Linked DNA regions of Arabidopsis thaliana. The protein of the gene in region 1 interacts with the protein of each later gene in a pairwise test. Each region holds a gene or a part of one and is shown on either strand. Other genes may lie near its edges.

The links. The genes of interacting proteins can lie anywhere in the genome.
Region 2: the proteins of KNAT4 (region 1) and OFP2 interact in a two-hybrid assay, tested with the Arabidopsis thaliana proteins (one large-scale study listed by BioGRID).
Region 3: the proteins of KNAT4 (region 1) and OFP12 interact in a two-hybrid assay, tested with the Arabidopsis thaliana proteins (one large-scale study listed by BioGRID).

What each region holds. Positions count from the first base shown.
Region 1 is NC_003076.8:3,505,148-3,516,162, reverse strand, and holds KNAT4 (homeobox protein knotted-1-like 4), read right to left. Parts: upstream 6,331-11,015; 5' UTR 5,756-6,330; coding exon 5,183-5,755; intron 4,692-5,182; coding exon 4,571-4,691; intron 4,375-4,570; coding exon 4,190-4,374; intron 3,856-4,189; coding exon 3,724-3,855; intron 3,566-3,723; coding exon 3,429-3,565; intron 3,230-3,428; coding exon 3,196-3,229; 3' UTR 2,422-3,195; downstream 1-2,421.
Region 2 is NC_003071.7:12,954,042-12,960,563, reverse strand, and holds OFP2 (ovate family protein 2), read right to left. Parts: upstream 4,120-6,522; 5' UTR 3,973-4,119; coding exon 3,010-3,972; 3' UTR 2,757-3,009; downstream 1-2,756. Other genes in the region: KIS (tubulin folding cofactor A (KIESEL)), read right to left, coding at 12-113, 382-468, 600-752; OFP17 (ovate family protein 17), read left to right, coding at 5,481-5,727, 5,815-6,155.
Region 3 is NC_003070.9:1,587,915-1,593,768, forward strand, and holds OFP12 (ovate family protein 12), read left to right. Parts: upstream 1-2,058; 5' UTR 2,059-2,110; coding exon 2,111-2,839; 3' UTR 2,840-3,098; downstream 3,099-5,854. UniProt on the Arabidopsis thaliana protein: Transcriptional repressor that regulates multiple aspects of plant growth and development through the regulation of BEL1-LIKE (BLH) and KNOX TALE (KNAT) homeodomain transcription factors.

The sequences.
Region 1 (11,015 bases):
ATGGTGTGGATCTAATAGATGGTTAATCATTGCATATTTGATTCCATCATTTCAAATCTTGATTTGATCTTAGCGTTCATTAATTACCACATTGTATTTAGATGGAACAAGAGATGGTTAGAGTTTTTTATTCATCAAGAACTATAGCAGAGAATGATGAGTGAGGGAGATTTTTGAACTGATGAGGATTAAATCAGTGTTGGTAGAACGGAGTTGAAACGTGAGTCAAGTGAAAAGCTATATATGGGTGAAATAAAGCATTTAAGACTAATTACAGGACAAGAGACGAAAGCTATGAATTAATGTGTCGGCATCATATGAAACTAGCTTGTAGCTAGAAACGTTTGAACTTTATAAAATTTATGATTTATGGATCGTGATCATTGAGACCGTTGAAGCAAGACATTGGTATTTTTTTGGAGCTAAAACACAATTTTTTGGGTATACAACATCAACATATTTATCTTTTTCAAAAAATATAAAAATATTTGTGTAGTCATATTCATATAGTATTAAACTCATGTCGAGAAGAAAAAGGTTTTTATTTGTATAGTATACTTTTAGATAGAACACAGGAACCTGATTCAGCTACTGGAATTATATATGAATATTAATAATTAGAAGAATCAATCTTTACGTTTCGACTAATTATGAATTAGGTTAGGAAAAAAGAACCTTTAGTGTCTGGAAATAGTATTAATCAAAACACAGAGATTCTGGTAAGCTGTCACGGGCATAGTCATACAAAGCTGGTTTAAGATAGTGGATGCCAATTATCGTATTATTTATCCACAACATTTCATTGAAAAAAGAAGTGGAGATACTGAGGATAAGAGTGTGACTGTGTGAAGTGAAGTGAAGTGGGGAAAATTGAAAAAGAAAAGCGAAGCAAAAACGCTTTCTCACATGTTTTGACGTTTGTGTTGTTACATAGTGATACCTACCACTTGCCACCGGTCGACATGTCTCTTTCTCTTCTGATGCCTCAAATCTTGCTCGTTTTGTCTACTATACATTTTTAGTGTATTATACTCTTTTCTACTTTTTCCCTTACAACTATCTCTAGACTTGATCTCCTATCGAGTCACAACATTCAATATCAATCATCGTCATTGATTGTTTCCATTTTAGATATTTGTATCCACCATTAGTCCAGTACATTTTCTATATAAATCCATAGTGTTTCTAATTAACAAATGTATTATGATATGTTTTAAACATATATTTTGTAAATTGTAAAGGTGTAATTTTTTTTTGTCAACTGTAAAGTTTGCTTTATCAAAAAAAAATAATATACTTGCATCGTGTCCCCAACGACGAATATAGATATGCCATAAAAACTAATGAAATCGTGACGTCCTCAACTTGCAATTGTTACCGTACTACATAGATGAATTCCTTCATCGCATATTAAAAAATATCTTAAAATATAATATTAAGATGTAATGTCAAACTTCATTGAACGTTATTTCCTCGTATTGGTGTTCGAGGAAGAGCTTCTTCTCCCATAAATATCCTAATCTTTTAGAGAAACACCAGATGAATCGAATATTTGTATCAATGATTATCCTAATATACTTACATATAAAAAAATCAGAAAATGTTCCTCATAGATTGGCTAACGTGTAACAGAAAGAAGCGCGCGATAAACTAGAGAGAATGTTGAACTTCTTTGTCGTCCTCTCTGTTTATATTCTCTATCTATCCTCCAGTTACCCACTAACACTTTTATTTTGTGTACTTTTTCTGCGTCACTTTCAGATAACGAATCTTTGATATCTTCAGCAATTGTGAATTGATTTTGAAAAGAAAAGTATTATCTATAAGGACAAAAGAGAAGAAGAAGAAGCAAATTGTTTTCGTCGCTGCTGCAACATAACGGATAACACAGAGTCACAGAGAGCTAGCTGTCTTTTATGATTGGGCCAGCTCTAAAATGCTCCTCTCATATGACTGTCTTGTAAGTAGAAGACAAGACCAATCACAAAACCCCACAACGTTCACAATGCCACGTCATGTGCAATCTTATTCTACCTAAAAAGAGACTCTCTCAACTCATACATTATTACCACCACTAATCTAGCTATCTATCTCCATGAAGGATTATAATTGAAGCAAACCTAAATGTGTAAACGGAATTAGAACTAAAGTTATTTATAATCCAATTGATTTTATTATGGTTAAAACAAAACAAAGACCTATGTTTTACTGTAGTCGAATCAAACCAATCCAAAGAAATCGCATTTACTTAAGTTTTACATTGTTAACTAATAACTCGGTCTTAATTGGAAAAACTAAATTTTAACTAAAAATAAAAACAAACTTCTAAAACTATAACTTTTTCATGATCTTATATGGCTATGAGGTATGAACCATTATGTTAATGATTTGTGCTAGTATTGTTGTTAATTATTTCACCAACTTGATTATAAAAAAGAACAAAAAAAAATCTGATTATAGTATGGATAGAAATGGTAGGTCATCACTCAGGTTCAAAACCCTTGCAAGCCAGTTTGTTGATAAAAATGAAAAGTGTTAATCGGCATCCTTAGAAACAAGAGGACTATGTATGAAACGTCGGCGAGCAAACCCTGTAAGGTAGAGAGTCTAGAGACAATGAGGCCCATAATGGACAATAAAGAAAACGCAGGAAAGGGGCCCAAATTGAAAAACTTTATAATCCCTTTTAATAATTTTGACAACGGCGGAGATAATCTCTTTCTTTCGTTTGCTGGCGACCTTCGCAGAGTTTAGATTTTGGCATTAGGGTTAACAATTCCACATAAAAAGTGGTTCCACTCACAAAACAAAACAAAAAAATTGAAACCATTAATTGAGATAATATATTCAAGCTAAATTAATATGTATATTTGTGTAGATTACGGCCAATGATTGCACAAATTAAATGCATAACGAGAAATTTCCATGTTATTCACAAGATATAATGATGGATTGATGGTGGAGAATGGAGATGGCAGTGAAGACTGACGATCCTATCATAAAGTCCATCTAAAACCTCATATTACAAATCATGCTTTGGGGTTTAATTTTGTGTGGCCCTAATCATTACCAAATATGAAAGCCATACCATGTACTGGCACAAAATTACGTCCTACGTTTGTTGTGTAAGAATTCTTTGTCTTCATGCCTCCACCTTTCTATAAAGCTTTTGGATCTCTACATGCAAGCTTGATCTCAACGGTCTCTTCCGCTGTTTTCACCTGCATTGCTTCATAAAGAAAACCCTCCAAATTTAATGACTCCATATATCTTGAAAATGTAACTAAACATTAATCTAACCATACATAAACAAGCTAAACTTTGTCACACCTAACATATATATATTTCAGAGATTGTATCTTATCGTGTGATCATATTTTGTCTTTTCTTGGATACTCTTCCTATAAAGTTATGTTGGTGCAAAGTACCTTCGGCGTTTATTCTTTGAGACGGTAGAAGAAGATGGATTGCTATGCCAATTCCTCTTTCTTTGATTGATGAACCAATTGTTTATCTGTTTGAGCTGCAAACCCGTCTCCTGCACCAACCTCGCCTTATCTTCCTCCTGTCAAAATTTACATGATTCATTTAAAACTTAGGAGATTGAGAAAGCATATGAAGTTGCAAAAATGATGTAGTCAAAGATTTTCGGGACAGAACTAGGTAAAGACCCACGAGGCGTGTTCATGCGAGTGACTGAAGAAGTAGAAAGAGGGAACTCACAGTAGGGTAAGGCCACTTAGAATGAGATTGCCACCATGATTTGAGAACAGAGGTGGTGTCTCCTGGTAATTTTCCAGCTCTTCTCTTCCTCAGTATCTCCTCTCTTATGTCCACAATTTTCTCCTTGTAACCCTTTTCACAAAAACATGGGTCAATATCATTAGTTAAGCTAACTATATATAGTGTGTACCACAATTTTCATGCATATAAGTGCGTGTAAGTACTATGTAGATGTTGCAAACTGACAACTCATCAAACAAGCTTCAGACAATTAAAAATCATAAATTCATTTGAGTCTTTTTGTAGATCAAAAATAAAGTTTTGACAAGTTCTTGGTTGATTGGACTAAATAGAAGCATATTTACTTTAGCTACAACGATATATAATAAGGTGTGAAGGATTTGTTATCATTGATCTTATATATGTGTAGTAGTAAATGATGGATATAGTATATTTCACTAGTTACCTGCTTGAGTTCATGTTTGAGTTCTTGTCTGACTCGTTCCATCAAAGATCTCTCGCTCTCAGTGGGAACTAGAGGACCAAACCCTAACCCATCTAAGCTTCCATCAAACAAATGAGCATCACTCTCTACTTGCTCATCTTCATCCTCAGACATTGTTGCTCCTGTGCCTTCACCAGGAGATACCCCTGTCTCATTCAACAAAACAAGTGTTAAATTAAAACCTCAAGAAGTAGGTACTAAATATAAAAAACAGCATTGAAATGAGAAATAAAATAAAAGAACCTTGTGTCTTTTACAATACTATAGTGAAATACAAAAGTTACCATAACAGCTAAATGACAAATTAAAGTTGATAATTTAGTAGAAGTCTTAAAAACTAACCTGTAAAACTTTGAAGCGACTGTTCAATCTCCCAACAGGCCATAACAGCTTCCATTGCATGAACACGAACATGCTGTTGCAGTTGTTCTTTGAAAGAGCAAAGCAATAGTACATAATGCGTCTGCACAAAAACATGGAAATATCTTTCAGACAACAGATACAATCATACAAATACGTCCATGAACAGTAAAATATGGGATATAGATACAGAAAGTGACAAACTAGTTTTTGTCAGATCACTGTATCCGTAACTGCAATCAATGAAATTGCTCAATCACTTACACTCAGCAAAAATCTATCTCAAAATAAACCTTATGCTGTCAAATTACTACTGTGCAAAACTAATATCCAAATTTTTAACTGACGATTTATCCAACCCACTGATCATGTCTGTCGGTGCAAAGTACAAGTCTAGAAAGAATTTTTGATTTTCTTCTCTAATTTACTTTTATAAATTTGGAGATAATTAACAACAAAATATTCAAATTTGTCAAACCGTTTTAAATATAAAAGATGAAAGTAATTTTTAGTGATTTTATTTTCCAAAAGAAAAGAAAAGGAATAAAATAATGGGAATTGAGAGTGGTAAGAAGGAAAGAGAAGTTAAGTTACCATGAAGTGGTCAAGCTCCTTGTCATCGCCGGCGAGGAGTCCTTGAGCGGCTTCTAAAGTTGAGTACTTAGCCACGACGTTTTGAGACTGAGCAAGCTGTGCGTCTATCCTCGGAAGCTGATCCACCGGCGTTGCGATCCTCAGGCACGCCACGTGTGCCGACAAAAGTTGCTCGTATAGTGGATGAGACAGTATCTCCGCCTTGTGTCTCGCATTCTGCCACCTCTCCGCCTCCTTCTTCTCTCCGATCATTGACTCCTCTCCGCCGGGAACGTCTTCGATGACGTCACCGGATGTTTCGTTGTTGTTGTTGTTTGCGGTGTTGCCTCGTTGGAGGAAGGATGAGGATCGTGAGAGCCACTGGTTAGCGGCGGCGGAAGAAGGAGAATCGGAGCTTGTAGCGGCGGCAGAGGCAGCTGTGTGGAGATTGAGGAAGTTGTTGTCGGAGCGGAGGAGCCAATTAGGGGGTGCTGATTCTTGAAAATGTTGTTGCTGCTGCTGTTGCGGCGGAGGAGGAGGCTGATGTTGTTGTTGGTCGGTGAAATGATTAAAGTGATTGTTATGAAACGCCATCGTTTTCGTGTTGAATTTGTTTTTGAATTTCTGTTTCGGAGAGGGAAAGATGAATTAAGAAGAAAAAAAGAAGAGAAATTCTTAGCTTTGATGTTCAGATTTATCAATCAATTATAGAAACTTTCTTCTCTAAAACAGAAAGAAAATGAAATATAAGGGTTTCGATGTGTATGTGTGTTTGACGGTTTGAATTTTATATGTAGCTTACACCAAAAAAGACGATTTATTCCTATATTTATTCTTCTTCTTTTATTATTAAATTGTAGAGTACCAGCTTTTTGGTGATCCATAATAAATTGGGATTAGGTCAGATTACTAACATTTACAGCGACAACAAAAAGTTTTATCGTTTTACAAAAAAAAGAGATGGTAGAAGTTGACGGCAAAAGAATGATACGAATTACGAAGTGACAGTAAAAGGAAATAGCTGCATCACTTTTTCTTCATTCGTTCCTAACATTTTTTTCTGCTTATCAAAAAGAATTGCTCATTTTTGCTCTATTTGTTTTTGGTACCAAGCAAAAGTAAATAAATTACACAAATCTGCAAAGGATTTTAAAACAAATTTTGAAGAATATCGGAGGAAAAAAAAGATAATTTGTTAAAGAAAAAGGAGAGTAGACGAATGGGAAAAAAGCAAGGAAGGAGGGGACCATTAATAATGACGTCACTACTCGGCGCCAAAAATATCGGAGGACACGTGTCGTGATAACGATTTCCTCTAATTGTGGTCCCTGAAGAAATTGGCATGCGATAGATCGGATAAGAGAATCCAGCCGTACAAATTTAAATTTTACATTATTTTGTATTTAGTAACAAAAAAAATACAAACGATTCAAAAATTTAGAGGTGTGGGGGACCAATTTCAGAAATTTGACTTAAGCTTATAGTTGCTGTCTTATCAAAAAAGTACGACAAATTTAATCCCATCATCAGAAAAAACATAAAATTTGCATATTAATTTTGGTATGAACTCATGACTTCTGCTAAAAAAACATGATTACAGATACACGATATCAAATGTTTGGCATACACATATTATCTAGGAATAAATATTTCAGATATTATAGAAACATACATATACTTATACTTTGTTAATTTGATCACTAAGCATTGACAAAATAAACAAATAAATAGATTATATACTTATGTTACAAGCATATAAATTTTTGCATGTGGTTCCAAATGTTTTTAATATGAGAATTGGAAGCAATACAATATAAATATCCATCGATTTGTATCAAACCCATCTAATGTACTTATTAGGAATGTGATGCAAAACAATTCGTAACCGTCTAATTAAGCTCCATCACTTAGACTAGTCTAACCTATATCCACGACCACTCCTGTCTCTACCTTGTTAAAAGTAATTTAACTTTAACCTACTCATACTTTGATCAAGCTTCGTTACTCATACTTTGATCGAAGTTGGTTTCTCTATCTCGTATACCAATTGTTCAGTTTAAATTTATTCTTTGATTTTGTATTCATAAGAAAAGTTAAATCTTTTGTTGTCAAGTCAAAATTTAACCGGTAAAATTGGCATTAATATATGAAAGTAGACATTTCTTAGAACTATCCAATGATTAGTGGTAATTTATTGAAGGTTGGTGGCCATTGACTGCTTCCAAGATTTGGCCATTGAGTGTTCTATTTGCGTGCGATACACGCGAGAGAGCCGATGAATGAGACTAAACGACAAAGTTGAATCCACCAAAATATCCAAACAGTAAGGTCTGAGTGATGATGAATAAAAGAGTAGAGACATGTGTCAAGTAAACTTCCAGTGTGATAAGGTCTATGTTTCGTGTGGAATCAGCTAACACATGATTGGACAAAGAGAGTCACATTAACGATCACAGTCGTCCATTTCACAACAACTCTTGTCGTCCCTACACTCTTTTCTACGAGAAACGACGAAGTTCCCTACGGCCTACGGCTCCAACTAATCACTCCTTCATTTTTATTTTTATTTCCTTACCTTATGGTTAGTGAAACATGAAATATATATATAAAAATCTTGTAATTACAATGTGCCAAGTTAATTGTAATCACCAGTAAATCTTGAACTCGTGATATGCATTGTGCTTTCGGACCTCGAGATTACTGATTGAACGACCACCACCGATTATTTTTTCTTTTTTGAATAAAAATCACCGATTATTTCTTATTTCACATTCACATAAACAAGCCTTGGATTTGGACCTACTTAATTATATTGATTGTCTAGGACCAAAGCTAAGAGTAGGGTGGTACAAAGAATCTTAATCAACAACTTGTGCTGTCTATATTAGGGACAGAAACAAAATCATTAATTAATTAGTTAATGATAATTGGGGTTGTTAGCAAAAATCTTGTCTAGTTTACAATTTTTTTTTTTTTTTAAATAGTCATTGATACATAAGCCAATGAATCTTCTTTATGGAAACACTAATCTATAGTGGTTTGCGATTGATTTTTAAACTTTATTGACTAACAAGATTATTAAAACCGTGCATTTGCCAATCAAACAAACAAAAACTAATATGGAACTTATATGAAAATTTTATAATATATAGACGCAGCTAGCCTTGAATAAGTATGTGATGATCGTAGAGATTGTATTTGATCGCTGGCCTGGTGACTTGTCAACTATCGCCATTTGATTATATTTATCAATATTGAACACAAGAACTTAACACACAAGACAAAACAATGTCATCTCAGCAAAATAAAGATATTCAGTTTTGTTGGAATTTTTTTTTTCTTTCCTAAAAGATGTTTGTAGAAACAGTGAATCTAATACGAGGATGATGCTCATAATGATGATGCTTTCTTTTGTTAATTTGTTTTGTTGTACACTACTTGGCTTGTGATAGATGAAAATTACAAGGAACCTAACAATATAGACAACATATACATCAAAACATTGAGTTAAAAGAACATAAATACTTTATTTTATTATAAAGATAGAGTAGAGAAAGAACATAGGAAGCTTTTTGTCAGGTTTGTGGATGAAAATGATGGAACGTAAAGGATGTTTTCTCTTCATCTTTCACTTTGTTTTGTAACGATGCCAAAGTTGTTCCTATAGTGAATTACTTTCTCTTATTGCTTTGATTATTGTTCGTAATTCACATTATAGCGTATTAGAGTAAGTCTAATACGCCCTAACAGTTCCTTTGTTTGAGAGAATTTTCTTACATAGGATTTTTCTTTTTCTTATATCTTATAATTTTTTAGTAAGTCTAATACGCCCTAACAGTTCCATTATATTAATGTATACTATAGAGTTTTTCATGTTCACCGCGATCATGTACTATCCAGTTTTTAATAAATATACGCATTGAGAGGGGGGAATGTTGTTGGATGAAATTTATTGAGAGAGATAACTGGGTTATGTTTTCTTTCAAAAGCAGATAATAAATTTTTTTTTGGTAAAACAATATGTTATGTGAAAATAGATATACATATAAAACAAATTTTAATTGGTTCAAGATTGACCATATAATGGCATGCACTCATATCGTTAATGTCTCAAAATCCATATTCAAAGTTGTATAATGCATGTTATTAACAATAAAACTGGTTAATTAAAGATATTGTGTAAGTCATATCGGTACAAGACACAAAAACCTCATTTATCAAATTTTATTAGAATCTGATCTTCTGCTCCAAAAAGATAGAGAAAACAAATCGTAGTCCCCTCCATGATATAAAAGAAATCTAAATGATCATATCAAATAATAGAGAAAGTAAGGGAAATGTTCAAACGATCCTACAAAAAGAAGATAGAAACGTTTCAAAGTAGACAAAACGGAGAAAAGAAGAGTGATTTGGCCTCTCTTGAGAAAGAGAGATTGGGGTTATCCACATTGCTGAACAAGTCTTTGGTTCTTCTTCTTACTCAATTAGTTCTTTGGTTTTGGTGAAGACATTGTTGTGTTGTGACCATTACTTATTGTGCCAAAAGAATATAGAGTTATGACTGGTGAAAAGTCTCCTTTCTTTCTATAAAAATACTTTATTTTACATGTTTCTTACAACGTTAATTTTATATATATTTTAAAGGATATCTTTGGACAAATAAAAGATAAATTAAATCAGCTATGATGCTTATGTTTTTAGTGACGTACTGATGTGTGTCTCTTACTCGTTAATATAGTGTGATGTTGAGTATGTATTGTTGTGAGCATGTAAAAGTTTAATGAGTTCCATGTCCATGTTATTTTGAAGTTTCATGAGTTTCTTCTCATTTTAATTAGGGTAATTTTTTTGAAAAAGTTTTGTAAATTTAGGATAATTTGTGTATTAACACTAGTTATACATATATAATATTTTAATATTGATGGATAACAGATTAAAGAAAAAAATATGTCATACATAATCAGTGAGTCATGCAATATATATATTTTGTCAGAAACAAGAGTTCATTCTTGATCAAATAATGTTGTAAATGTGTCCCCATCCAACCTTTCTCTTATATAACTTTTGATGAGATGTATAAGCGAAATAAGTGTAGTATTATAAGCTTTTTATCTTATTATATACTTTTGAATTGTACATTAGTGAGATGGAGACGTGAGAATGTGGCCATATTCACATTTTTGTAGATTATTGACAATGAAACGTTGAATTGTTGAGGTTCTTAGAGTATATATTTAGAAGAATAAAAGATAAACACAGATGAACTAGGATATATAGTAATATAATCACTTTTTACTTGTGTTAATAACATGGATTATTAGGTCTAAAGTTGGATGACGACACAAAAAATAATATTAATACACTAAATCAACAATAGTATTGCCTCAATAGTACAGAGTAACATAAAACATGTCATATGTCTTGCTAATATAAGAGTGGCGTAAGTGTCCGCTTCTCTTATTAACACTCAAAGTTAGGCTTTGTCCACTTCCAAAATTGGACCACAAAACATCAAAAGAAAAGAAAAAGAAGAAGAATTTTCAATGAAATTAAATTCTGTAATGGACCACTTCTACACTCTTCTGCTTTCTTCTTCAATGCTTCTCTGTGTTGTCCATATCTCTCCGCATTGTTTGCTTACTTTTAGTTATGCATTTGCCATCTATTTGGGAATCTTAGGCCAATCTGAAGTAGCATATTTACTTATCTCTTTTTCTTTATCTTTTTGGTTTCATTAATCTTGGAATCCGATGTGGCTCAAATTGTACTCATTGAATGTTGCAAGGCTATATGGGAGTCAACAGTTTGGGTTGGATTACTATATTCTTTGCCCTCTCAGGATCATGGTAAAACC
Region 2 (6,522 bases), on another chromosome or scaffold:
CGCTGGCTAAATCAGGCATCTTCAGTGGGAAACTGCTTCTCCACATCCGCGACTGTCTTCTTTGCATCTTCGATCTCTGGACCTTCCTTCTCATCCGTCTCTTCCAATTCCGCCTGCAAATTCAGTTTTCATTAGAGACAAAAGACAGAGTACGAATTCACAGTTTCCTCTGTGTCCTTATTCATCATTTTTCCTCAAAGAGAGACTAAGATGGTTTCATGCAGGGGATTAATCCAATCGCTATAGATACATATAAAAGTTATAGTTTGATAATGTACTACTGCTCTTAAACTTCAAATCACCGCTCAGCGTTTCTTATAAACTAATACATAAAGCTAGACCGACGCTTAGCAAGCAATAACAATGGAAAATGTAGTTTACCAAAGTGGACTTGAGGTCAGCCAATGCAGACTCGAGACGTTTGTGGCAATCCGGAATCATCATCCTAGACTCACCCAACACATTTTCCTGCATCACCACATACACAGATTAGGAAAAACCAAGTCTAAACACAGCACAACACAGCATTTCTAGATTCTGACGAACAAAGACGGGCTCCGAATCTTCGAATACAGAGAGATAAACAATGAAATCTGTACCTGTTGTTTAAGGTCGTAGGGATCAGCACCTTTGTCCTTCATATCAGCAGTCTTAGCCGCTTCTCTCTCAACTTCTTTCTCATAAGAGTGAAGCTCTTTCACAATCCTTTTACATGTTGATGTTTTTATCTTCAAGTTCCTTATCGTTGCCATTGGATTCTGAGCAAGTACCAAACACAGGACAACCAAAATTAGGGTTTCTACATCACCAGCGAAACAACTCAAACGCAACGATTCTATAACTAGGTTTTGCGATCTCCTTTAAACTTCGATGTCGAATTTGAAATTGAAATAGGGCGATTAGATCAAGACTAATGTAGGTGATAATTCTACGATTCGTGCATTGCAATAGATCGGGAACATTTTGGAATTCATCGATTTCTTTTACTTGATTCCGATCTACATTGAGATCGACACAAAGCTAGATTCGATTGAAAATTAAAGGAAGATATACTGTGAAATAGAAGAAGTAGGGTTTAGAAACGAACCAGGCGATGATGGGAGAAGAAGGTTGCTTCCGATGAATTTGAGAGAGAGGACGCGGCGTAGAGCGAGGAGGAATCGAAGAACAACAATATACAGTTTCCGATTTCGATTTCTTCTTTTTCCTTTGCTTTCAATTCTGAATTATTAAAAAAAAAACTTAATACTGGATATGCACTCACTTGTGTGCTCGCATTACGACATAAAAATGTAATTTGAGTTTTATTTCATTTCTTTGACAAAAAAAAAAAAAAAAGTTTTATTTCATTTATTTACCCTTTTTTATAGATATAAAATATGTAAATCAAACTTTTATATCGTACAATTTAAGTATATATTTTGTGTTTTATTATGTCAAGTTCATTCATTAATTTTAAATTTGATACAACAAAAGAATAATGTAGAAAGTCAAGTATACAATGATGGATGAATGGATTTACATAATGCTTTTTTGGTACGTAAACGTTAGTATTTGCTAACAAAGTATTAGTTGCGTTATTTTTTTCAGAACAATCAATCCTAATTTTAAATATTTTTATTAAAAACACTATGATACATATTAATTTACATTATAATTTGTTATTGAAAATAAAAACGGAGCAATTTTGTCATAGGTTTTTTTTTTGTCAACCACACAAAAATGGTTTACAAATTACAATGTAACTTTAAAAAATGGTATACAACTACACTAACAACCATAGGTCACAAGAAACCACACTTGCTATTTTTTCTAGATCCAAATTTCACAATTTAAAACCACACAAATTTTCTAGAAGGAATCAATATTTGGAATGCCATTTAATAAAACTTTAACTGTTATTTTTAAATATATTGAATTTAAAACGAACTTTGAATGTTTGTGTAGTTTTAGACGAACAACTAATTTGTCAAGTTAGCTAGGTGATCAAGATAGAAAAAAGTTCGTGTGAATCATATTTTGTTCATGAAAATTTGGTGTAGTTTATGGTTATGAGGTTATCTCATATCTATGTATAAAATTAGAATGTAGAATTTTGTCTGACATACTTGTTTAAAACTTAAAATTATGATACATATATCACCTATTCTTTTTAATTCTTAACTTTATAATCCAAAACTGCAAGATCATTTAGGCCCATTGATTTGAATATTTGTTGCTTATGTTCACTCAGAAGTCAGAAACCATACCATATCACATGTCTTTTGCTGAAACTTCATAAGCCAACTGTGGTAGGGGATGGAATTTGCAACAGTGGTCCTCTTCTTCTTCTTCATGAGTTCATTCTTCCCTTCTTCACAGAAAAAAAAAAACCCTTAAGGATTAAATCTCATCACTGTTTCTTTCTTCTTTAATCACATCTCAGTTTTATGTGTCAGTGGTCCTCTCTCTACCTTCAACGATTATCCAATGTTCTTCATGCATATATATAAACTCCGTACTTGTTGCGTTTTCAAATTGTTCATGTCTCTTCACTGTTGTCTTTTTCTTGTTGCTGTTTACCGCCATTTTCAACTTTGTATTTTCAAAATATTCAAATGATATTGGCGCAATTAATCCATCTTCATATTCTAAGAAATAATCAAATCTTGAAGCATCATCTTTTGTGAGTAGTTTTATATGTTCATAATCATAGAGAAGACAAGAATATGTTTAATTAGTGATAAAAAAATCTGTCTTAATTAACAGTGTTTTCACGCCCTTAGTGATCATGTTTGTATTAAAACGACAATATGATAACAACTTTTATTATTTGCTTACATTTTCCAAAAAGATAAATAAAGAAAACAATACATAAAAAGTGGGATTCAAAGAGAGAATCTCCACAGTTCCATCTAACTTCTTATGAACATCAACAACAAGTCAACAACTACAATTTCACAAGCAGAATGATACTAATTACTTTCACCATTAGGTTAACTACTATTACATTAAGAATTATTTTTTTCTTTACTTTGTTTTTGTAAGTTGAAGCCAGATTTGTTCGAAAACATGGATGATAAGATCATGATACTCCTTTGGATTCAAAGTAAGGTAGCAAGCAAGAAGGTCTTCCAAGTCTTTCGAAGCTCTGATGTTGTTCTCTTCTATCATCTCAATCATTGATTCCCTGAAATCTTTCTTTGGATCAACGGACCGCTTCATCACAGCGAAGCTCTCTAGAACATCTTGTTTGCTCTCTGATCTTCTAGAAGTGCTTCTACGAGTACCTGAGAGTTGAATTCTAGGTGAATTCACTCTTTTGAGGTTTATCCCAGCAGATGGTTTTCTTCCACTAGAAACTTGCCTTTGGTACTTCTTCTCGGCTTTATATTCATTATCATCTTCATCTCTTGAAATTTTCACAGAAAGATGGCTTTTCTGCGGTTTCTTAATCGGCTTGCTTGCAGTACAAGCTTTCTCTACCGAATCAATCACTTTGACCTTCTGCTTGGTGAAAGCTTTGTTCTTTGTGTTGATCTTGAAGTTGGAAAATTCAACGAACTCATCATCATCATCCTCTTCGTAGAAACTATACACAAAAGACTCAGGGGAGGTTTCAATAGCCGGGAACAAGCTGTAAGACGAATCTTGATCGTTGATCTTGCTCTTGTTGAAACTTGCAGATACAAGAAGAGGAGGAGGAGTCAAAGGTTTAAGGGATGGCTTGTAAAGTGTCTTTCTTTTACTCATCTTTTTTGTGTGAAGAGAGTTTCTTGGTGAGTTATGGTGAGGAGGATTGTTAGCTACTAAGCTGTTGGAGAAATAAGAGTGTTGAGGAAGAGAATCTGAGGAAGGTTTCTTCTTGCTACAAGTGTTTGAGGAAGAAGAAGAAGCTTTGTTTTTGGGTTTAGAGTGTTTAGTCACGTCTTTGAGCTTGTGGAACCATGCATTTGGGAGCATCTCTGAAATTCTGAACTTGTAATTCCCCATCTTGTCTCTCTCTTTTTCACAAAAGTTTGTGATATTTCTCTTAAGAAAACTCTGTTTTTGTTTCCTTAGATAAAGAAGAAGGTGAGAAAGCAAAGTTCTCTATGTGACAGATAAAGAAGAAACTGAAGATTAAAATTGGAAACTAGTGGGGCTACTACTAGAAAAAGCTTAAAGAATGTCTTTTATTAGTATCATCATCATTCATCATCAACATCAACTTGAGACATCACATTTACACGCTTGTGCTCACATAATTAATAAATTTATTTTATGGTGAATTTTTAAAATTGGTTGACTAATTGAAATTGTATTTGGTGAAAAACTGAAAATCATAAGAACATAACTTTTATCTAAAATATTATATAATTAAGGGAATAGTACAAAAATAATTATAAAACAGAGAATCAGTTGCTTCTGATTTCTGACAGATTTCTATCATCATTTCATGGAGATTTTACTCTTCATCGAAATGATAAAATAACTGAAAAATGTAATTAGCGAATTATAAAACAGTAGCAAATGTAAACAGTTTTAAAGAATACACAAAAAGGTTGACCAAATGGCAATTACAAAAGAAAAATACAGCTTCTTTTCCTCGAAGTATGCTTTTTGATTGAAAATATTAAAACGTTTCTAAACGGACAAATCAATTTAATAAATAAAAACAAAGTTTTCACAATTCAACTAAAAGTTTAACATATGTGAATCTATCTAGGTTAAAGACTCAAAGTACACGTTATAATGAAGTTCAATAGTTTCATTTCGATGCTTCTTTGAATTTGGTAAAGTGTGAACCTTATCTTAAGTTTTTAGGTAGAAATAATTTAGTATAGTAGCACTTTATGTTATATTAAGGTGATACAGATACACAAATGATGAAATTAAGATAATCAAATATGTTCCATTTTCTCCTCTGAATAAAGTGGGATCAACTTTTGAGTCATAATAATGAATATGAGAAATTTTTTGGTCTACTTTGTCCACTAACGCCGAACATTTTGAGGACACTTTTTTTCTTCTTCTATACATTTCCACTTTCCAGATCAAATGTTTTGGCAACTACTTATCTTTTAACTTCGAGAAGGAAAAAAATGATATTCAAAAATCAAAATAAAACATTTTCCATCCTTACTTTAAATAAGCACAAGTGATTATTCATATTTAAAAAATGGAGATATTTTCACTAGACGTGGGACTGGTTTATGTTCAACAATGTTGACCTACCAATATATCAACGACTTTTTGAGTATACAAAAACAAAACTATCTCATCATATTGGATTTTGTTTATAAGCAAGAGCCACCAAACATTTGCAATAAGAAAACCTTTTCTATTCTCCATTGTTTTTAAAAACTTCATGGGACTCCACCATCATGATCAGTTTCACACCCAAAGACGTGAACTCCACGCAACACAAGCCAATCCTCTAACCTTATACACACCAAAACAAAACAAGAAGCCAAAGAGGATCACAACAACAACATCATCACCAAAAAAGCTTCAAGACAATGAGAGTGAAAGCAACTTTGATTAACTTCAAATCAAAGCTTTCGAAATCATGCAACAGATTTGTCTCTCTCTTCCGCTTCCGAGTTAAAAGACCTGTCTTTATTAGACCTCTTCGTGCCCGTCATGGCAATGTCAAACCTAGACATCAACATCATCATTCCAAGAAGCCAATCTGTTCTTGTCTCTGTTTCCTCAATTCAAGCAAGAACCATAAGATGAGCAACGCCAAACATAGAAGTTCCTCTTGTAAGACAACTTCGCTACAAAATCTGTTTTAACATTGAAATTTTATCAGCTTCTTGATCTCTTTGTTCTCTTATTTTGCCATTGCAGTTAGTGTGAACGATGATGATTACTCCAAGTTTATGCAATCACCTCTTACGCCAGCAACAGCCAAGAAGCTCTTCACTTCACCCATCACGACACCTTACTCTTCACGGACCAGGAAATCGCTGAACGCAAGAGATACATTTGAAGACAATGCTGTGGAAGATGCTTGTAGAAGCTTTGAAAACTATCTGATTCATCTGATTGTTGAAGAAGGGAAAATAGATGACTTAATGGACATAGAGGAACTTCTCTTCTGTTGGAAGAATCTTAAGAGTCCTGTCTTCATTGAACTTGTCTCAAGATTTTATGGAGAACTCTGTAGAGACTTGTTTTCAGGTGAATGAACAGATCTAGTTAAATTGATCAAAACAAAAATGTTTTAAATCTGTATCTGTCAGTACTTGTGGTTTGACAATTATTGAATACAACATCTAAGGTTTCTAAGTTTAAAGTTGGGAACAATGTGTGAAGACTATAAAAGATTGTATGTTTCGGTCAATACCGGTCGGACCGGTTCAACCGGATTTACTTACCAAACTCGTCTCTTGCAATTTTATTGTTGAATAAAAAAATTATCACAACTGTGTGGACACGTGTGGTTCTCCGTCCTCACTCCTCAAGCCCCTTTCATTTTATCCCAACTGTGTCTGGTCTGATTAATGAAAAAATAAAACAAATTCGAAGAAATATAAATGAGATTTTTGTAGCTAG
Region 3 (5,854 bases), on another chromosome or scaffold:
TGACAAAATTGTAACATTGCAATCAGGCAGTATTTTGGAGAGTTTGAAAACGATATTGAATGTGACAGTGTCTTATGACAAGAGATATCTACAATGGAGTTTTATGTGAGTCTGATGTTCACACTCGAAAACTTTCACAAGTTGAAGAATCATGTGATTTTGTATCTTGATGTCAATGTTTCCCATTCATGGAGCTTTTGTCGACAAGTTTTGACATGTCCCTACAATATAGCAACAACACTTGTGTGACATAGATATTGAAAGAGAGATAGATATACCCATTCGCATTTTTATAAGATTCCTCTTGTGATAAATCCAATGAAACTATATGATGATTTCAAAATAATACAAAAATAGAAATTGATCTCAATGTACCTTCCAAAGAAAAATGACAACGTGTGGGGCTAAAAATTGCTGTACCATCATATCTGACACCTTGATTCCATTTTTTTTTTATACACCAAACAATGAGTAGAGCATAAAGGCCTTTCGTATTACAAGCATTTATTACTTACCATATTTAAAATAAAAAAACTTACCATATTATTGTCGATCTAGTATATATATATATATAGATCGATATTTCTACGTATAAATAGGGCGATGTTGTGTGACATGTCTCTCAGTCACCACTTTTGGCGGGTTCTCGTCGACAGAGATTGATCAAATCTAATTATTATTGTTGATGATAGAAAGTTGTCATGCATAGATTTCTCAAGCGAGAATATTCATTAATATAGGATTCTCATTTTTTAATTCTTCGCTCTGAAGTTGTAACCTAGTAGCTTGTACTAGGTACATGCCATGTTGTAACATTGGTTAGATATTTGTAAATTTTAGAGGCTTTAAATGCAAAAGATTATATTCGGACTACTCGATCATAAATTTTGGTCTAGTAATCTGCTTGAACATTGATTTTGCGGAGCAATTCTTGATGAGAAGCAATTTTATGATTTTATCCCAAAACTAATCGCGACATGATCATTCGGTGAATTTGTTGCTAGGAGAAACAATGGTCTAAGATAAACTGAAAAAGGGAAGAGAACAAATATTAGTTAAGATTGATCAATGAGAAGTGAAGTGAGTCAGTGTACTTTGCACAAACATCGATCTTTCGTCTTTGAGTCATGAGATGGCCAGTTTAGGTTAGTCCAAACATTGCCTCCTCGTGAGTTCTTGCTGTATATATTTGCAAGGACAATAATTCCTCTTATTTGGCGTTAATTTATTTATTATGTCTAGAGTTCGTAAATGAATTGAAGAAAATTATTTACTAAACAATAAAGGTTTTGCTCTCCCCGCAGAATTTTTGCCTATGACATTAAGAAAAAAAAAGCGTGAAAATATAAAGATAAACAGTACAATTTTGGATTATATTGTTGAAGTTTACTCATATAATTTGTATATGTTGATAATGGAGAAAACATATAAATATTTGCATGTCCGTATATAACCTTATTTCCCTTCTATCAAATCTAAGAAAAAAAACAAATACTTTACGCGTAGGCGCTTTTTCATGTTTAAAGTTTCGATTACCATCAAGATTTGCTTTTTGAGTCATTTTACCTTATACTATATACGACAAAAACTCGTAAATTACCCTCTTATTGTATTTAATTAATTGAAATTTCTAATTCACATTTAAGATATTAATATTTTAATTTATTTTATCAAGATTGTATATTAATAATAAAATAGAAATTTTCATTGTCAACAATAAATATGAATTTTATATCAAATATGTTAAAAATTTAGTTTTAAGTGATATATAACCATTTTCAAGAAAACAAATCTATAAAAAAAAAAGTGTATGAATTACTGAAAGTTGGTATAACTTAAAACCTTCAAACGAACAGACAAAAAACTAAGATGACCGTTAATAATAAGATACTTTTGTAGATCTGTATATTATACAAACAAAATAAGTAAAAATAAGAATTAAAATTATTTTGGTCTTAAGATTCACAGCAAAGCACGATGCATTGTGTAAATATAATACATTATACAAATACATGGTGGTACGTATATAATATAAATATTTGTACATATAAATACAAGCATGATACAATAATAGTATCAAAACAAATTAAGACAACCTAGCTAAATCCACATGCTCAATACATATTCTCTCACTCTCTTTCTCACAAAAACAAAAACAATGCCAAGAGTCATGTGGAAAAACTTCCATCTTTGCTTCCCATCAAATCTCACCAAGCCCTCTTCATCTCCGTCCGGTGCCACCTCCGACGATCCCAACCGTCCATCCATTCTTCTCATCAACAACTTTAACCTCCTATATGACGACTCCTCCGCCGCCCACCGCCGCCTATCCAAGCCTCTTATCCACGACGTTGAACCCTCTTCCACCTTCACCGCCTCCACCTCCACCGCAGCTAACTCTTCTTCCTCCTCTGCCTCTTATGATGATTCCGATAATTACGGTTTTGCCCCTGACGACGACTCTCCCCCTCCTGACTTAACCGCCGTTTTAGCCTCCCGCCGCTTCTTCTTCTCTTCTCCTGGCTGCTCAAACTCAATCACTGACTCGCCAGATCTCCGCTGCCGGGATAATTACGATACTGCCACTAGGCTTCTTACCGGAGGAACCGCCGTGAAACACTACGTGCAATCTCCTGATCCGTACAACGACTTCCGACGATCAATGCAGGAGATGATCGACGCCGTTACAAACGCCGGAGATCTTCGCCGTTACGAGTTCTTGCATGAGCTGTTACTCAGTTACCTCTCTTTAAATGCCGCCGATACACACAAGTTCATTATCAGAGCTTTCGCCGACATTCTCGTCTCTCTCCTATCGGACGGTCACCGGATCAGCTGAGCTGACGTGGCATATATATATTTATTCTCTCTTCATGTTATGTAAAAAGTAACACATGTTATTTATTTTTGTAATGCGTTACTTAGGACAAATAATCAGAACTAAAGTTAATGTAATTATTTTGTAATGATACGATTGAGAAAGTCGAGAGAGGCGTGGGTTTTTGTCTCGATCGCATGCAGTTAGATTCTTCTTTTAATTTGTTTCTATTTTTGTCTTTTTACCCTTTTAAATTAAATAAATTAAATGTTCTGGAGTATATATGGTGAAACTTAAATCATTGATTGGGAAGTTATAGTTCAATTTAACATATTGATGATAAAAAATAGACTTAATTTATACTTTCCGAAATGCATCTCTAGAAGTATATATTAAGAGACGGAAACCCATGGCTTCATTATAAACTTAAAAGTGAAAATTTATTTTGGTTTAAATCATTAAATACACGAACGAAACTTATGAGTTGAAGAAAATTTGTAATGGGTAAAAGCTGAATTGTGATAACTAACAACATTACAATTTTGCTGATTAATTACCAACAAAATAATAATTGTCTAATTGGTATGATGTATGATTGTTAAAAGTTTGTCTTTTGGAGAAACTACCAAGAAAACGCTCGGATTAGTGCCATGACAAACAATGAAAAAGCTACGTCGACTGACAATTGGTACTATTTCTTCTTCTTTCGTAACGTCTCAAATTATGTTTGACATGTATATCGAAGATTGACTTTCTTCTGCTTTTCTTGATGTTCTCACTTTACATCCATATCAAAACAAATTATTTAATCGAAAAACTGTATATGATAAAATTTACATCGATTTATATAGTTTTATTCAGATATTTTAGCCAATGCCATGATTTCTTTTATACGTTGGGGTTTATGCTATTTGGCCAAGATTCATATAGCGTATTAGTTATCTAAAACGCAAGAAGCGCATTAAAATATTGCCAAGTTAGGGAATGGTGCATGATAGACTAAATATATTAACAATAGGTATTCAAATTTAGCTAATGTTGAGATCTATTGTTGTAGGTGATTCTTTCCATGAGATATTTCACATAACACAAGGTGAGACAAAAACAAAATAGGAGAATCCTAAGAGACGGATGTTGGCCGAAGCCTCAACCAATATTATAACAAAGCTATTTTCATCATTAATATTATATATAACATTTTGCTCACATCCCTGATTCATATTCGCAGGACACGACCAACAACAATAAATAGTGTATGAAATAGGGACTGAGACAGTTAATCATTTACTACACTAGAGATTAGAAATCTCAAGGTTTTCAGATAGATATTAAAACAGGCCTTTGATTGCTTCTTCACTCACCATGGCAGCAGCATTCTCCGGATAAGAATCAAGGAGAGCTTCAACATTGGGGATTAAACCGCCTCATCGTCTTTGTCCACGGCTACAATATCATTGGGGGTAATAAAGCGTTGAAGCTGCTTGAAAAATAAACTGACACACAGAGATAGAGAGAGATAGAGGAACACGGTCGCCAAATCGTTTCGATCGCAAATACAACTCTTTCAGTATCATAGATAATTGTGGCCAAATATATAACTTTTGGGTTCTACGCAAAGAGTTAGATGAATTTTAAGGAAACAGTGAGAGATAAAGAACGAGAAATTTACGTAAGAGAAATAATAAGCAGAGTTGGTTGGATGATCTCGATAATCGACTAGGGGTTTCTAAATCACTTATTGAATACATACGCCGATGTTTCCCGCCCGCAAAGAAATTTATATTATTAGGTGGGGCTGAGAATGGGCTTCGCTTTAATGCGCTTAGATTTAAAGGCCTTTGCAGTTTCTATGAATCGGCCTTCTCTGTGCACCAATCCTACTTTTTTTGTTTTTTTGTTTTTTTTGGGGGGCATAATCCTACCTTTTTAATTTTTAAATACCAGTTATACTGAAAATTTGGTTATTTTATACCCAAAATAATAATATAACTAGATTTATTATTGTTGTCGATTTTATTATTTTTTTCATAATTCATTGTTGATTTGTTGGGTAATTATTTAATTTGTTTTTAAGTTTGGTTAAATTATAAATATATGGATTAAGTTGCAAATACATGTTGTTATGTAGTTGCAAATATGTGGGATAAATGATAAAGTTTTATTATCGAATTGCTAATATTTAAAAGTATCAAAACTTATTTAAAACCATCTCAATATATGATCTTAACAACTCCATTTAACTACTCACAATATTAACTTTGTGTTGATTAAAAAATGTAAGTAACCTATAAATAGAGAATATAATTTTTTAAACAAAAGATTAAGATTTTAACAATGGATATTTTGTACGTATAATGTAAACTTTTTATTCTTGTTTTCGATGAACAACGTTTACCGATTAAAGAAGTAAACACAAAGTAAACTATTGAAGATCGTACATGGGTTCTCCTTAAAAATTCTTAAAAATAACTATCTGAATGTCGAGTTTATCGTTGCTCCTTACGAGGTTAATGCACAACTTGTATATTTGGCGAATAATAAAGATAAAGACATTTGTATGTGGTTCTCATTACTGATACTTACCTCGTACCATTTAGATGTCCAAGAGTAAGTTCTCTAATACACTTATCAATTATTATTTTTAATAGCTTGAAAATAAATTTAATGGTCAAAAGATACCTATAATATATTTTTAACTGAAAAATAAAGAGAAATTTATGAAATCTGTTAGTTTTATGTTTTTAATAAGCAAAATAAAATATTTTAATAAGCAAAATAAAAGATTTATGTTTTAAATTATCTAAAAGGTTTTTTTTTTTTTGTAGTTTAAAAAGTAGTACAAAAAGTGTTATGATTCGTCATTAATCATTCCCAAGTACTCTTATTCCTCGATAATTGTTCTTCAATCTCAAATTTACATAAACAATTGAAAGAAATTTATGGATTTATTAATTATATAGCGATTCATATTCAAATTTAACAATAATTTTGGTATTTATTTCTCGTAATTGATACTGCGGTTTCAATCCTAATTTA